2 linked regions of the Callithrix jacchus genome follow. The protein of the gene in region 1 interacts with the protein of each later gene in a pairwise test. Links are inferred from orthologs where the notes say so. Each region holds a gene or a part of one and is shown on either strand. Other genes may lie near its edges. The genes, in order: IFT25 and IFT27.

Region 1 (3,816 bases):
GTCATGCCTGATCTCTACTTCTACAGAGATCCTGAAGAGATTGAAAAAGAAGAGCAGGCTGCTGCTGAGAAGGCTGTGACCAAGGAGGAATTTCAGGGCGAATGGACTGCTCCAGCTCCTGAGTTCACTGCTACTCAGCCTGAGGTTGCCGACTGGTCTGAAGGCGTGCAGGTGCCCTCTGTGCCCATCCAGCAGTTCCCTACTGAAGACTGGAGCGCCCAGCCTGCCACGGAAGACTGGTCTGCAGCTCCTACTGCTCAGGCCACTGAATGGGTAGGAGCAACCACTGAATGGTCTTAAGCTGTTCTTGTGTGGCCTCTTAAACAACATGTAAGATTCATGGAAAATAAACATCGAGTTTCTAAAAAAAAAAAAAAAAGAAAATCACTCTAGCTATATTCATATAATACAAAGTAGAATGTAAGACAAGGAGCATTACCAGAGACAAAGGGGACATTTTATAATGTTAGAGGGTCAATTCATCAGGAAGAGAGGATAATCCTAAGTGTATATGGACCTAATAATAGTTCTTTAAAATACATAAAGCAAAATCTGACAGCTGAAGGGAGAAATAGACAAATTCACAATTATAGTTAGAGATTTTAATACCCTTTTCTCAGTAATGATAGAACAATTTGGCAGAAAATCAATAAAGACATAGATGATCTGAATAGTATCATAACCTCGACTTTGTTGACAGTTATAGAACACTATAATCAACAACAAGAACATATTAATGGGTTGGGTGTGGTGGCTAATGCCTGTAATCCCAGCACTTTGGGAGGCCGAGGTGGGCGGATCACCTGAGGTCGGGAGTTCGAGACCAGCCTCACCAACATGGAGAAAGCCTGTCTCTACTAAAAATACAAAATTAGCCAGGCATGGTGGCGCATGCCTGTAATCCCAGCTACACGGGAGCCTGAGGTAGAATTGCTTGAACTTGGGAGGCAAAGGTTGTGGTGAGCCAAGATCACACCATTGCACTCCAGCCTGGGCAACAAGAGTGAAACTTCATCACAAAGAAAAAAAAAAAAGGAAAATGGAATGCAAATAGTACAACCACTTTGGAAATCTGACAGTTTCTTATAAAGTTAAATATACTTTTACCCTATGTCCCAGCAATTTCACTCTTAGTAATTACCCAGAGAAATGAAAACATGTTCACAAGCACCTGTACAAGCATATCTGTAGCAGCTTTGTTCCTAATAGTAAAAAAGTGGAAGCAATTACAATATCCAACAACATATCAAAGAAAATCATGAATAAAAACATTGTGGCATAGTCTGGTGATAGAAAGCAAAGCAGTGGTTGTCAAAGGGAGGTAGGGATTTCTGGAAGGAAAGATAAGGGAAATTTCTGGAGTTATGGAAATGTTATATCTACTGGAGTATTGGTTACATAAGCATGTACATTTATCAAAACTCATTAAGTTATACACTTAAGGTGAATTTCACTGTAGGTAAATTTTATTTCCAAAAAAAGAAAAAGCTTATGTAGTTGAAATGATTATTTCTGTAGTCAAAATTATATATACTGTTTTGCCTATATGTGACTTAAAATTGAGTTCATGTTTTAATTTTTGTTTGAACAAACATTTAGGTTGTCTCTGCTATGGGTGAGCCATTGTAGCAGTTGTAGGGTTACAAAGATGAGTAAGGGAAGGAAGCTGGGCTCAAAGAGCTCAGCATTTAGCAGGAGCCATAGAAACAGGAGATTAAGTGCCAACGTAGAAATAGAGGCTAAGTGTGAGATAAGTGCAAAAGAGGGAGGCAGTGATTCTGAATTGGTGGGGTTAGATAAATGAGACCAAAAAGTGAATGAACTTAAGGGGAAGAAGGGTTTTTCAGGTAAAAAAAAAAAAATACTCATGAATGAACCAAGGTACAGAAGCATAAGCCTGCATTAACATATTTGCAGAATTTTAAGTGGCCCAGTGTGACCACAGTAATGGAAGAGAATATACCTTAATTATGGAACCAGATTGTACAGTCTTAAATGCCATACAAAGGAGTTTAGAATTATAGGCAATAAGGGAGCATTGAGGCTTTTGAATAGGAGTGATACCTATTCTGTTTCTGTGTTTTAGAAAAGAATACCTGATAGTAGTAAAGAAGAATTATTAAAATTAGAGATTAGAGATTATAGGCAGAATTAACAGAAAGGAGATATAAAAGTTCAGTAGTCATTTAATTTTAAAGAACAGGTATTCAATACAATTTTATAATTAACCATTTATATTTGGCTATTTTTTTTTTTAATTAACAATAGGAATCCAGACACATTTTGGACCACTACAGGAATGTTTCCCCAGGAATTCATTATTTGTTTCCACAAACATGTAAGGATTGAAAGGCTTGTAATCCAAAGTTACTTTGGTAAGCAAATCTTACATTAATTTTTTCTTTTTTTTTTTTTGGTGCTCCAGGTAAGGCTCATATGTTAATTTTCATTATCCTTTAATTTTTTCCACAGGCAGAAGGCATGTATGTAAACTTTTGGCAAAACACTAGTTTTTCTTTATAGCATGGAATCCAGTTTTATTGCTTGGGTGAAAGGATGGGGATTATGGATTAACTGCCTTGAGCTCAATTGGCCTCTCTGAAACTGCAAATTTGAAACCCTTCCAAAGCACATAATAATTTCCATGCAGTTTACTATGTGAAAGTCTTTGACAAAAGGCCCTATTAGGAACATTAGACGCCAGTTTGCCAGAACACTAAGTTCCATGACTGGAACTTAGTGGGCTCATGCCCATAATCCCAGCATTTTGGGAGGCTAAGGCGGGCAGATCGCTTGAGCTCAGGAATTCAAGAGACTAGGTGGGCAACAAGAGACTAGGTGGGCAACATGGAGAAATAGATTCATTTGGCCAGGAGTTCTTTGTCCAATTCTGGTTGAAAATCTGATAACCCTGATTATTTACATTGGATAGTTGTGATTCTTCTATTACTAGTGGCATTTTCTGAGGAATTTGGGAGGAGAATCTCCCTTGGGACATCATTCTAATCCTATTTATCTATTTAAGAATAACATTATCAGACAAAATCATGGCAGGAAACAGAATGCATCCTAGATGGGTCAAATGAAGAGGCTCTATTGATGGGACTACCTGCAAAATTATGGCTTGGGTTAAGGGAACAAACAACGCAAGGAATGATGAGGCCCTCAGTAACTAACTATAGCTGGAAGCTGTGACCAGCCCTGGGAAGGAAATAGTGTTATTAGAGATCTGTGAGAGCTGGAGCCTGTGTGAAAGGACCTAACAGGAGCTGTAGGCAGGAGAAACTGTCAAAGATGTGGCACTGAAGCAGGTAGGGAATGGAGATAATAAAATAGGCTGATCTTACTTCCCCACACCAGTCTCCCCATGGTGTCCCCCACTGGCCAAATCCAATAAGAAGCCAGTAGGTAAGTGAATCCAGGTGATGTAGTCCACAGAGGTTAGCTTCTCATGGCACAGAACAGGACAAAGAGGAGGAGGAATGGATCTGGAGTGGTAGAGACTGGACTGGGGACAGTGGAGAAAAGACTGTATTCCTGTTAAGTCTCTCTTTAAAAAAAATTTTTTTTAAGTCTCTCTTTTGTCATTAATTGTGGAGACTCTGGAGTCAGACCTAAAGTTTGAATTCCATTTCTGGCACTTACTAGCTATATATCATTGAACACCTTGCTTGGCTCCATGAAACCTGTTTTCTTACCAATAAAGTGGGTTAAAATATTTTTCTCATGATATTGTAGTCAAAAGTGAATGGATAAATATGTCTGACTCATCATAGGCTCTCCATGAATGTTCATGATCAAGACACCAATAGTATT
Region 2 (4,489 bases), on another chromosome or scaffold:
TTAGTAGAGATAGGGTTTCACCATGTTGAGCAGGATGGTGGCAACCTCGTGTTGACCAGGATGGATCGCTTGACCTCGTGATCCACCCGCCTCGGCCTCCCAAAGTGCTGGGATTACAGGTGTGAGCCACCGCGCCCGGCCTGGGCAGTCCCCAGGCTGAACGGCATTTGCCGTAACACCAGGAATGAATCCCAAGGAAAGAACGTGCAGACAACTTGCATTGTTTTACTCCAGATTCAGAGCCGAAACCATCAGTCATTCATAGAGTGTGTGTGTGCATTCCCCGACACAAGGCTGGCGGCCACCCTGAGGTGCAGAGTGGTGGAGAGGTGGACTGCAGGGAATGTGGAGCCTCCACACAGGCACCTTTACTGAGGGGCTGCTCTTCCCGTCAGCATCAGCCATCAGAAATCCCAGGGGCCCCGAGAGAGTGAGGACAGGGGGTACATTCGGCCAACCAATGGCAGCGATGATAAACCAGATAAGCTTCGTCTCTCTCATGCACCCCACGATCACTGGTGAACCTACTAACTCACAGGTTTCTCTCCTTCCACCCCCACACCCACCCCACGAGGTGGGTTCTCCGAGGCCCATCCTGAGAGGCTGAGGGATGAGTTAACTTTCCCAGGCCAGAAAGACGCAGTGATTTAGGTCTCTCGCTCTCCAACCACGTGCAAGAGACCCCTGACCCGGAAAACAGCCGCGTAGACAGAGCCTCCCCGGGCGACGCGCGCGCGGCGTGGTGAGCGATGCGTCCTCCCTTTGCCAGACGGTAAATGGACTAAGAGGAAAGAACGACGTCAAGTTCCCGAGTCTCCCCGCTCAGCCCCATCAAAGCGTGCCCGTTCTCCCTTTATTCACAAATATCACTCGAAACACCGTATTTTAGATTTTAACGCTCATAACATCTTTGGGCTTTTAAAATGAGATTTCCCTGAGGGATGCGGGCCAAGAACTGAACTTCTCGACGCACTGTAATAGCCGCGCTGTGCAGAACCCGGGAACCGGGGAAGCCACTAGAACCGCTGCGAACTCAAACCAAGTCAATACGGCCTCAGCAGCGGCAGCCCGGCCCACCGCGCTGGCGTCGCCCCAGAACGCCTAGAGCCGGACCTGCTAGAGTTCGCCCCCTGGTAGGCGAACCCACTTCCAGAAGGACAGCGGGAGTGGCGAATCCCCATTCCTCCCGAAGACGGGCCTAGCCAGCCTCCGACCAGTCAGAAAGCTTCTCTTACCGCTTCTGTCAGCCTGACGTGAAGACTTCTTTACCTCGGGACTCTATGGCGCCGTAGGGGCGGGATATAAAGCTGACTGACGTCATTTACAACCACTTGTCCAGCAGAATGAACTTGAAGAACAAATAACTTCACGAATTGTGTCTCAAGAAAAGGCTATTGTCCCCACCCTCTACTCCCATTGGGTCTTTGCAAGCCCTCGAGGGTGGGAGCTATTGGCGACAACCAATCGAGAGTCAGCGAGGAGGGGGAGGCGGGGCAGGTGGGTTATGGTTGCCTGGAGTGTGCGTTTGGCCGGGTACTTGGGGCGGGAGGAGATCCTTCCCTGGCCCCGCTGGGGAAGGCTGGGCTGAGGAGCTGTGCCGGGAGCACAGGCCGTGTCCGCTCGCTTGCATCTTTTCAGACTGCCGTGTCGGGCCTCGAGCCGGACCCATCTGGAGCCCCCCTATACACCGCTCCCAGCGCCCATTAACCGCCCACAGCCCAGGAGGGCTGGGCCCGGTCATCCCCAGCCCCGCCGCGGCCACCGGCCCTTGAGATCAGCCCTCCCCACCTCCCCGTTCCAGGACGGCCCAGGGCCCGAAGCCCACCCACCCGCGCCTCTAGCAGCCGCTCTTGTCCTCAGGGTACGGCTCGCGGGAGTGTTGGTTACCATGGTGAAGCTGGCAGCCAAATGCATCCTGGCAGGTGAGTCTGAAAACTTGCGCTTGAATACAGCGGTCTCTGGAGTCCCAGGCCTTCAAAATTCATCCAAAGCTTTTGTTCACCTAAATTTCCTACCTTCTTTTCCTCTCTCTCTCCTAAAGGCGAGTTACTGCCATTACTGATACAGTAAATTACATTAGCCGCGGAAGAAAGATCCTCCGTGGCACATTCGCAGCTCCAGCGGATTCCCCCTGCTCCCTGCCATACGCCGAGACCACCTTCACCGGTTGAACTGACTCGTTAAAAAAGTCACTAGTTAAAACTCTGGAGCAGCAGACTCGTTAAAACAAAACTTAAGCAAACCTTGAGTCCTTCAGCTAAATATTTACTGTACCCCAAAGTTAGGCTCGGTGACTTTGGTAGTCTTTACTGTGGGATTTTTTTCCCTTGACCTCACCCCCTCTGATAACGGTGACAGGAGTGTAGTGACCCGAGTTCGCAAAAGGCACTTGTGTGTTGTCTTTAAGACCCAAATTTACTGTGCTGCCCCGCTCCAAGAAGGACATAAATGTTGAGTCTCCCAAGGGCAGCAATCTTTGTTTTGTTGACTGATATATCCCAAGCGCCCAGAATAATACCTGGAACATAGTAAGCACTCGATTAATACTTTCAGAGTGGATGGCTATGTGGCTCGCATATTTTTAGTGCATCGTATCAGTCTGCATATTTAGAAAAAATGGCTTGGATTATAGACCTTTTGACTACACGAAACACATACGCACGTTACTGGATCCTTACTGCATACGAGGCACACATATTGCATGAAATGGTCCCACTGTAGCACTCTGGGCTACGTACTAGATCTGCCCAACTCTGAAACTCTTAACTCGTGTTTCCGTTGAAAGCTGTGACCTTTCCGGGCTTCCCCACCAGCTCAGGAAAGAAGTGGTGAGAAATTACATAGAGAAAAAGAGATTTCTTTTTTTAAAAAAAAGTCCACTCTTCCAGACTGAAAGTAAATGATCATATTTGTAATGGCTTTTATAATTTGAAAGTAAAAGGGTAACATAGAAAGATGACTCTGACAGTAGTAACTGAATCATACTGGAGCAAAAGAAATGAATGGTTCTCAGGAGAGTCTCCTGTTTGCAGAGCACCAGAGGAGGCAGTGTTGTGTAACAAAAGGAATTCTGCCCGTTCCTCTTACTGGCTGTGTCATCTTGGACAAAGCACTTTTTTGAGCTTTAATTTCTTTATGGATAAGTTGGGAACATTATTTTCTGAAGTTATATATTTCTTTTTCAATGGGCTTATCTCTGTTCCTTTTAAATTCGGTTTTCAGCGTGGAGCTAACTTACTGAACACTTTCTGGGCACCAGCTCTGGGATAGACCCTCGATTACAGGTGGTCTCACTGAATCCTCACAGCAACCCTGTAGGATTGGTGGTATTGCCATTCTCATTTACAGATGAGGTAACTGAGTTCCAGAAAAATGAGGACATTTGCTGTGGGTCACACAGCTGGAAACGGCAGAACTGTATGATCCAGACCCTGGATTCCAACCTGATTTCCAGGGCTTTAGCCCAGGCTACGCTGTCCTCAAGCCATGATCCTCATCTTCTGTTTCTTTTTTTTTTTTTTTGAGATGGAGTTTCACTCTTGTCGCCCAGGCTGGAGCACACTGGCGCAATCTCGGCTCACTGCAACTTCTGCCTCCCAGGTTCAAGCAATTCTCCTGCCTCAGCCTCCTGAGTAGCTGGGATTACAGGTGCCTGCCACCATGACTAGCTAATTTTTTCATATTTTTTAGTAGAGACGGGGTTTCACCATGTTGGCCAGGCGGTCTTGAACTCCTGACCTTGAGTGATCCACCTACCTCAGTCTTCCAAAGTGCTGGGATTACAGGTGTGAACCACCACACCTGGCCCCCCCTTTTTTTTTTTGACACAGTTTCACTCTGTCACCCAGGCTGGAATGCAATGGCGCACAATCTCAGCTCACTGCAACTTCTGCCTCCCAGGTTCAAGCGATTCTCGTGTCTCTGCCTCCCAAGTAGCTGGGATTACAGGCACATGCCACCATGCCAATTTTTGTATTTGTAGCAGAGATGGGGTTTCACTATGTTGGTCAGGCTGGTCTTGAACTCCAGACCTGAAGTGAGCCGCCCATCTCAGCCTTCCAAAGTGCTGGGATTACAGGCATGAGACACTGCGCCTGGCCTGCAGCCTCTTTTCAAGGCCTCCGCAGCATTTCCTCTTGAAAGTTTCTGGGGACCAAAAGACCTCAGCCCAGAAATCAGCCCACTTTGCCATGCCCACCACACGCGTGCACGCGCACGCGCACACACACACACACACACACCTACAGCATTGGTTTTATTTTTCCATCCATGCCCCATAGCCCTGCTGTTTAAACTGAGTTGCTCTGTTTTTTCTCTCACGTATCTAGTCATTGAAGGAGCTGACGTTCAGTTCAAGTGTTGATGCTTTGAACAGATACTGGCTGAGCACCTACTGTGTGTGAGTCACCATGCAAGGTGCAGTGGGAATGCAAGCGTGAGTCAGTTACACTCAAGGAAGAACTAAGATGTGTGTGAGAAGTTCTAGCAA

The links.
Region 2: the proteins of IFT25 (region 1) and IFT27 interact in binary tests that used the Homo sapiens proteins (3 or more experiments, as listed by UniProt). The two-hybrid records come from large-scale screens. The link is inferred for Callithrix jacchus from reciprocal best matches to the Homo sapiens genes IFT25 and IFT27.

Annotation. Positions count from the first base shown.
Region 1 is NC_133508.1:91,059,615-91,063,430, reverse strand, and holds part of IFT25 (intraflagellar transport protein 25 homolog), read left to right. Parts: coding exon of another isoform or gene 1-300; exon of another isoform or gene 301-384; intron 385-2,268; coding exon 2,269-2,375; intron 2,376-3,816. Other genes in the region: small ribosomal subunit protein uS2, read left to right, coding at 1-300. UniProt on the Homo sapiens protein: Component of the IFT complex B required for sonic hedgehog/SHH signaling.
Region 2 is NC_133502.1:207,709,180-207,713,668, reverse strand, and holds the start of IFT27 (intraflagellar transport protein 27 homolog), read left to right. Parts: upstream 1-1,462; 5' UTR 1,463-1,497; exon of another isoform or gene 1,498-1,860; 5' UTR 1,861-1,888; coding exon 1,889-1,922; intron 1,923-4,489. UniProt on the Homo sapiens protein: Small GTPase-like component of the intraflagellar transport (IFT) complex B that promotes the exit of the BBSome complex from cilia via its interaction with ARL6. Not involved in entry of the BBSome complex into cilium. Prevents aggregation of GTP-free ARL6.